Kluyveromyces lactis: one gene and its partner. Each later gene encodes a partner of the first gene's protein in a complex. Links are inferred from orthologs where the notes say so. Each region holds a gene or a part of one and is shown on either strand. Other genes may lie near its edges.

Region 1 (4,570 bases):
CCCTTAGCATCGCCACTAGGGAAATGAGTCTTTGGGTTGCAAACCTCTATCTCTAGAAAGTTTTCTGGCTCATCATAAATTGTTGCACCGGATAATTGCTTGTGAGTTGTATGTGAAAGTGTAGACTCTGCAGTTGTAGTAAATGATTGGAACTGTCTTTGGGGGCACATATTACCGAATCCATATAATCGTGGACCTTGCCCGATTAGGTTTTTCAAGGTATTATTCACTCTTTACCCACCTTCGTTACTTTGCAGGAATTGGTTGAGGTACCCTTCATAAATGGTCTTTTTTATAATGAAAAGCCATAGATATTATTTTCACAATCATATCCTTAAAACGATTTCAGGAAACCGCATAATATGCTAAGAGTGGATCTGTATTGAAATCGTACCCTGTTCTTAGCAGCACAGATCCACATGAAATCTAACTGATATTGTCGATGACACTTACCTCGAAACCATGGATCAACCGGCAGCTAATAATCAAGAGAACGTAACAAACGAACAAGGACCTCTCATGGATCTCGAAGAAGATGAAGAGATCGACGTATTCCATAATGTCGGCCAGGGACTTGCTGGCAGATACAGAGAAATTATGATACAGTATTGGCAGGAACTTATTAATGAGATAGAATCCACGAATGAGCCAGGTTCACAATTCCAAGACGACTTCAAATCGCATTCGTTACCACTAGCAAGGATTAAGAAAGTGATGAAAACTGACGAAGAAGTTAGAATGATTAGTGGAGAGGCTCCAATTCTATTTGCAAAAGCCTGCGAAATCTTCATCACAGAACTCACAATGAGAGCATGGTGTGTTGCAGAGGAAAATAAGCGACGTACGTTGCAGAAGCAAGACATTGCGGATGCATTACAAAAGTCCGATATGTTCGATTTCCTGATTGACATAGTACCCAGAAACGTTCAATGATCAAACCGCCAAATCATTAGCGTATAAAGTGAAATGAGAGAAATCAACACAATGCCCCACTTACATATTTCAACCGATTAGGCAGTTGACCTCTGAAAAATGCGACATCGGTGAGCTATGACATTATTTAGTTGTTTCTAGCAATATAGCATTATTAACTCACAAATTGTGAATTTCATGATCAGTAATATACAGTTCAATCGAAGTAAATGTTACAAATGTCATGTCAATTACTGTCTGAAATCCATAAATATTCTCGGGCAGGTTTGTACCATCTGTAGCTTTTTCTCTTTCACAGTCTCTCTTCTCTATAAGCACGAACATGAAATTGAAAAAAAAATTAAACACTAAGTTCAGATTTCGTTTTGACTATAAGAAACCACAAGTGACTGAAGAGCGCAGAAACAGCAAGAGCAAGTCAGACATAGCATCAAGCGTGGTTGATACTATAAACCGTGTGTTAAACTTTAAACAAAGCACCTCAACAGTCAGTACTTTTTTGTTTTGTTCCAGTGAGTTTTCAATCATCTGTTTGCTGAGTATAGAAAACTATGTCAACTTCTGTAGACCCTTTAGTCCAGTTGCAACAGGCAGCTGCGATGGCAATGCAGCATATGCCGGAACAAATGCTTCCTAAGGTTTTGGAGACCGGTATCACATTGTTTTTAAATGATAAGCGGAATTTAGGGTTCTCGAGATTTTCTACCCAGTTATTATTGGATATATTGGTTCATGATAAGATTCCATCAAGTGAAAAACCATTCATTGTATGTCAAAACATCACTGCGCTTTGGGAAATGGCTGAAACAAGAGATTATGTCACTTACAAAAACTGTATACTATGTCTTGGTAATATTTATGACCGATTATTTGATTTAGTAGCAAAGACTTCTGATGATAAACTTTGGTCGGTAATGTTAAAGTTTAAAGAACTTATCATTGCCAACTGGAAGACCTGCTATCCTTTGGATTTGTCTGACAATGATCTAAATAACCATTCAAGAGGAACGGGGGTAAAATTAGCAAGTGTGAAGCTCATTTCGAAAATCATTATTGTGCACACCTCAGGACCCGGAATTAGCGTGGGAAGTATACCAGAAAATCATCCTGTGATATCTAATAAGCAAGCGTTGGAGGCTGAAGCCAAATATTTGTTAGATAAATTGTTAACTTTTTTAATTGAGGAACCAATGATGTGTGCACCATGGTTCACAGGTGCTCTTCATAGTCTTTCTTTTATTATGAAGCAGAGACCATTGGCCACAATTCGAATCGCATCCGCTTTACTGAAATTCAACATTGACATGAAATTCCAAAGAGATGATGAACCCACTTTACAATACAGACTTGCAAAGCGATTTGTGGAACGTTGTTACAGAAATTTAGTTCAGTTCGGAATTAAAAGTCAACTACTCAAAAACAGTGGATCCATGACACAGTATAGAAACAAACTAGCTAAAATTTCACAGACTCTATTCGTTATTGGCGAAGAGACCAAAGCTAAAGGTATTCTAAATTATGATCCGGCTGCGATTGAACATAAAATGACTCCAGCTGATAAAAAAAAATACACTAGAGTGAAGGAAGTTAACGACTCTTCTTCAGATTCTTCATCAGGAACATTTTCAGCGACAACGAAATCTCCGTCTCCTATTCAAATGCCACCGATTGTTTCGCCAATGATAGGAAATACAATGATGAATACGGCATCTACTCCACCGTTACTGAATAATTTTCAACCTCAGATACATGCCCCCGTAAAGAACATACCTGCTCCTCCACCCCCACCGCCTGATCTTTCTGTATTGCAATCCCTTCAGAGTTATGCTTTCACTAAATCCACGACAAAGCATCCACATTTTTTGAATCCTGCTCATACCTCTGTCGATAACTCATATTCTGCCGTTTTTGCCTTAATGAACCCCGTCACCTCCGGATTCGATGTCTCGAAGTTGTCTCAAGATACCATGGTTAAAATATGTACTGAGGCTTTAAGTAACACAAACACAGGTACTGCCATTAATGGACTATCCATAGTTGCGTCCAGGTACACCGATTTGATAAACAAGTGGTTACAAAACAATGCTCAACAACAGAGCGCAACTATCTCCAACGATAGTAGTCCAGTCCCATTCAACAACAGTAGCCAAAGTCAAGCTAGTAAACGTCCCAGAGAAGAGAATTCTGCAGCTTTGCCAATAAAGCAAGAAGTTGCAATGAAAAACGAAGAACCTTTACAGCAGCCTGCGGACGATAGGTACGTAATTGATGATTCAGCTCCTATACAGCCACCAGAAAGCAAAAGGGCAAAGATCGAAAGAGTGGAAGATGCAGAACCATCAAGCAGTCATACAGTATCCTTGGGTGTTCCAACTTTAACTTATGATGAGAAGTTGACTCACTTGCAAAGAATTGTGCAGAATATATTACTGATACCAACTAAAACTGATGTGAGCACTCCAATGACACAATTACAAAGTACAAATCCATTGGACAAAGTTCTACTAATGAATTGGGACAATAAGACCTCCTGGGTATTCTTATTATCTAGACTCTGCTCTAGAGGAGTGTCATCGAATCAAGATGTGAGAGATATTGTCACCAACGCAATTTTTGACTACTTCTGTGAGGATTTCCAGAACAGAATCACGCTTGTACTTGAATGGCTAAGTGAAGAGTGGTACCATGAGGAATTGATTTCCGATGGTAAAGATCATACCATATATAATGAATGGTCAGTAAAGGTGCTAGATTTCATGATCCCCAAACTTGATGACTCCCACAGAAGATTGTTTATTCGAATGGTCAGTGAAATGCCGTTACTTACTCAAGAACACATCGAAAAGATGAAATCACTATGTTTAGATCCTACTAGATCGGTATTGGGGTTCCAGTCTTTGAAATTCATGTTGATGTTCAGACCTCCAGTGAAACCGTTCATCAAAGTTGCCCTCGAATCTATGGCTGAAGTAGACGAAAGTATCAAACCACAATGCGATTCACTATTGAACAAGTATTTTTCCTGAGTAAAGCTATTCTGAATCAATGTAAACCCTGATTTCTAAATTTATATATCTATATACTAGCCGTCGAAGATATTGCAATTTGGTTGCGTTCCAAAAGCAATATGTAAGGAGAAACTTACTACTTTCCTATCAAACCGTCAACGAATAAAAGAGAATCATAGCTCGCTAATGCCCAATAGGTTTGGCTGAAATTCCACCATGTATCAGTCACTTAATGAGAAATTTGAAGTTTTCAAAAATATAACCTTTTAGCCACATTATCGTTAAAACATATAGTTAACGCACGCACAGCACGATCTCATCTCGTTCTCGTTTCCCTTCGAAACAAAGGACACACACAGAGCTTCTTTGAGAAAAAGAAATGAACTAATGCCGTCTCGCTGAAATTTGAAAAAAAAAATAATTTCAACATCGCTTCTTCTTGAATATGTTTTCAGGAATCTAACTAAGTCAGAGGAAGTGAAAGTGATAAACAGAACGAACCAAGGCCCGAAAAGAGGTGTGCGTTTATTCATTGTGTTTAACATCTGTTGGATTAGTTAGACTGCTTCAGGAAGGTAGTCTTCTTTCATTGTGAAAATCTGCTGTCTCACAAAGATTTTTTAAGAACA
Region 2 (3,557 bases), on another chromosome or scaffold:
CAAATGTCGATAGTGTTTTTCCTTCAATTGATGGGCTATGTGTCGGCATCGGTCTTAAATGATATTTTGCATAAAAAATGGGGGTCTCGAGGCGTAATGACAGCATCATGTATACTTGCTGCATTTACCTACTTGGTTCTTGCCCTAAAACCATATTCGCTCTATCTTTATGCGATATGCTTCTTTCCGCTAGGTATGTGTGTTGGGTTTGTTGACTCTACAGGTAATTTCTACTTTGGTAATTTAGAGACTAGAAAGAATGAATGGATGGGTTTGCTTCATGGAATATACGGGTTGGCCGCTGGTGTAACCCCACCATTAGTTACAACCTTCGATCATTATTTGGATTGGTCTTATATCTTTTGGGTCCCTTTGGTGTTTGCTCTTGTGGGGTTGGCACTCTGCATGGGGGCCTTTAAATACGAAACTGCTACCAAATACAGATACATCTGTGTAGGAGTCCCCGATGAATCAGGTGGTATTGAAAATGAGGAAGAGATAAAATGGTACCAGTTATCGAAGTATCCTCCGATGATTTTCTTGTATGCATTTTTCTTATTCTTGTACTTAGGTACAGAAATTGGTGTTGGGACATGGCTATTCACATATTTGTTGAATTATAAGAAAGGTGAGAAGTTCCTTATGTCATTTGTTACTGCGTCATTCTGGTCTGGGATCACTATCGGTAGATTAGGTCTTGGTTTTGTTACAAAAAGGTTCAAAAATGAATACAGGTCAAGCGTTTGGTACGGTTTGACTTGTTCATTGTTTTTTTTCCTATTCGTTATCATCAATCTAATCAATTCCACATCGACATTCTATTTCTTTGTTTTATCGTTGATGATCTTTGGCGCTGGTATCTTCATAGGTCCCTTGTTCCCTAACGCAAGTGTTGTTGCAATCCAAATCCTACCGAAACATCAACAAGTTAGTGGTATTGGTACAGCAATCGCTTTCGGAGGGTGTGGTGGTGCATTAATAACATACTCTTTTGGGTTTGCAAACAAGATTTTTGGGTTCCAATACTATCCATTTCTATGCTTCCTTGGTTCTTTGGCATTCAACATAGTTTGGATGCTCTACCCGAAAATTATCAAAGGACATAGAGAGTACTTATAAATTACTCAAGCTCAACAGATATGAATATCGTGCCGCGCATGGAAATTATTTACTTATATATAATAGGGGAATCGCTCCTACTTCTTAACGGACATATGTATTTTAAATCCATACTACAGAAGTAATTGAATCAGCTTCATTCTTATGCTTAAGGTCTGCTGCACGTGATCTATTTTTTTTTCTTTACTTGAAGCAACTTCAACATCGAGCTGGCATCAAAAACTACCGAAATCAGAATATTACTTGCATTTAATGATATTGAGAGGTAGGAAATGCATAAAACATGTATCAAAAGACACGGCCAACGTTTCACATTACGAAACTTAGGTGAACTACTATTCATACTGTTCTCAGAAATTTCAACACAGCCTGGTCTCAGCTTGAAAAAGACATAGCATGGATCCTAATACCGAGGGCACCACAACTAAAAAGTATACATCGCAAAGACGAACAATTGACATTTCTGCATCTTATGATAGACTATATTTCTTGAAGAAGCATGGCCAGGAGAATTCGTCATATATAGAGGCAGAAACCTCATATAATGCTCATATACTACCGCCAGATGCCTATGGTTTTCATGGGCATGCCATCAATACAGCAACCAAATTTACGCATCTTTCATCAAATAAGGTAAAGCACGTTATTCCGGCTCTTACGTGGACGCCAGAAGGAAGAAGGTTAGTGGTAGCTACATACAATGGAGAGTTTTCATTATGGAGTGGATCCAGTTTCAATTTCGAAAGTATTATGCAGGCTCATGATAGTGCAGTAACCGTGATGACATACTCACATACAGGGGATTGGATGGTTAGTGGTAGCGCTGATGGGGAGCTTAAGATCTGGCAACCAAACTTTAATATGGTTAAAGTCATGGACCAAGCACATATGGAATGTGTAAGGGAAATATCGTTTAGTCCGACCGACCAGAAGTTTGTCAGTTGTTCTGATGATAATGTGTTGAAAATATGGAACTTTAGCAACGGACAACAAGAAAGGGTGCTATCAGGCCATCATTGGGACGTCAAATCATGCGACTGGCATCCGAAGATGGGTTTAATCGTATCAGGATCCAAAGACAATCTTATCAAATTCTGGGATCCGCGTAGTGGTAGCTGCGTATCCACCATGCTTGGTTTTAAACATACTATCATCTCGACGAAATTCCAACCCAAACAGGGAAACTTACTATCTGTAATTTCGAAGGATAAAACATGCAAGGTATATGATATACGACAACAGGCTAAAGAGCTTTTCAGTGTTCGTGATGATGTCGACTACATGACATTACAGTGGCATCCAATCGATGAAACAGTGTTTACCGTTGGATGCTATGATGGATCTATAAAACATTTCGATCTATCCCAGGAAAATCAGCCAAACAAACCTACACACAACATTCCATATGCACATGAAAAATGTGTTACATCATTAGCATATAGTCCAATTGGTCACATCATGGCTAGCGCCTCGAAAGATAGGACTATTCGATTCTGGACGAGATCGAGAGCAGTCGATCCAAACGCCTTTGATGATCCAACATATAACAATGAAAAAGTTAATGCTTGGTACTTCGGTATCAATAATAACATTAATGCTGTCAGAAACAAAACAGAACACGGTGTTGCTTTGCCACCAAGTGAAGACTCCAATAATAATGAAAATGGCGACGGTTCCAGATCAGTTGAACCTGAGCGACCATCTGTCAGTACTTTACCAGGTTTGGGATCAGGATTACCAGGCCTAAGTTTTTAAGACAATTGAAAGTCATGGAAATTATAGCATCAATATTATTTAAGCAGATTAAATGTAAATCTACCTTTTCTTCATCATTAATAAGTAGACTGTATCGATTGAATAAACTAAAATAGAGGTTAACGAGTAAAATACTATACTAAATAGGTAAAAAAAGAATCAGTAGTTGTTGAATATATAAAAGTGTTAAAAAGAACCGAGAAATAAAAACAAAAAAGTGTTAGGAGGTCGTTACAATTCCAGTCGCTTAATCAACTGGCGGTCAAAAGGTCATTAAATTTATAAGATATCATTTCGTCATTAATATTTTTTTTATAATTGGTGTATCAATTGGCAAGGAGCACTGGCATTCAAACTCTAATAAATATAGCCAAATCATATGGTATAAGAGATTACAACGTTTGTAGATAAGTATCATTGATACTTTCGTGCAACGTCATTATATTGGATTTTCGGACATTTTCATCTATGGCATCAGATCTATCACGGGAAGAGGATGGTTGAGGAGAAGTAGGGGACGATGTCCCATACTTCAAAAATTCGTTAGCCTTTTCGATGTATCCGTATCCGTACATTTTAGAATAATTCTCCATGAAATATTCCATTGTATTGATAAGTTCTGCTGTATCGGAACAGTATTGCGAGGGGAAGTAGTACATATTACTATCGTCTGCAGAAAATTG

Evidence for each region.
Region 2: PTA1 (region 1) and PFS2 share a complex: the UniProt entries of both Saccharomyces cerevisiae proteins name them as parts of the cleavage and polyadenylation factor (CPF) complex. The link is inferred for Kluyveromyces lactis from reciprocal best matches to the Saccharomyces cerevisiae genes PTA1 and PFS2.

Annotation. Positions count from the first base shown.
Region 1 is NC_006037.1:330,428-334,997, reverse strand, and holds PTA1 (RNA-processing protein PTA1), read left to right. Parts: upstream 1-1,484; coding exon 1,485-3,959; downstream 3,960-4,570. Other genes in the region: SNX3 (Snx3p), read right to left, coding at 1-170; HAP5 (Hap5p), read left to right, coding at 463-933. UniProt on the Saccharomyces cerevisiae protein: Essential in pre-tRNA processing. Component of the cleavage and polyadenylation factor (CPF) complex, which plays a key role in polyadenylation-dependent pre-mRNA 3'-end formation and cooperates with cleavage factors including the CFIA complex and NAB4/CFIB.
Region 2 is NC_006041.1:644,251-647,807, forward strand, and holds PFS2 (cleavage polyadenylation factor subunit PFS2), read left to right. Parts: upstream 1-1,515; coding exon 1,516-2,874; downstream 2,875-3,557. Other genes in the region: BSC6 (Bsc6p), read left to right, coding at 1-1,119; PFK27 (6-phosphofructo-2-kinase), read right to left, coding at 3,267-3,557. UniProt on the Saccharomyces cerevisiae protein: Integral and essential component of the cleavage and polyadenylation factor (CPF) complex, which plays a key role in polyadenylation-dependent pre-mRNA 3'-end formation and cooperates with cleavage factors including the CFIA complex and NAB4/CFIB.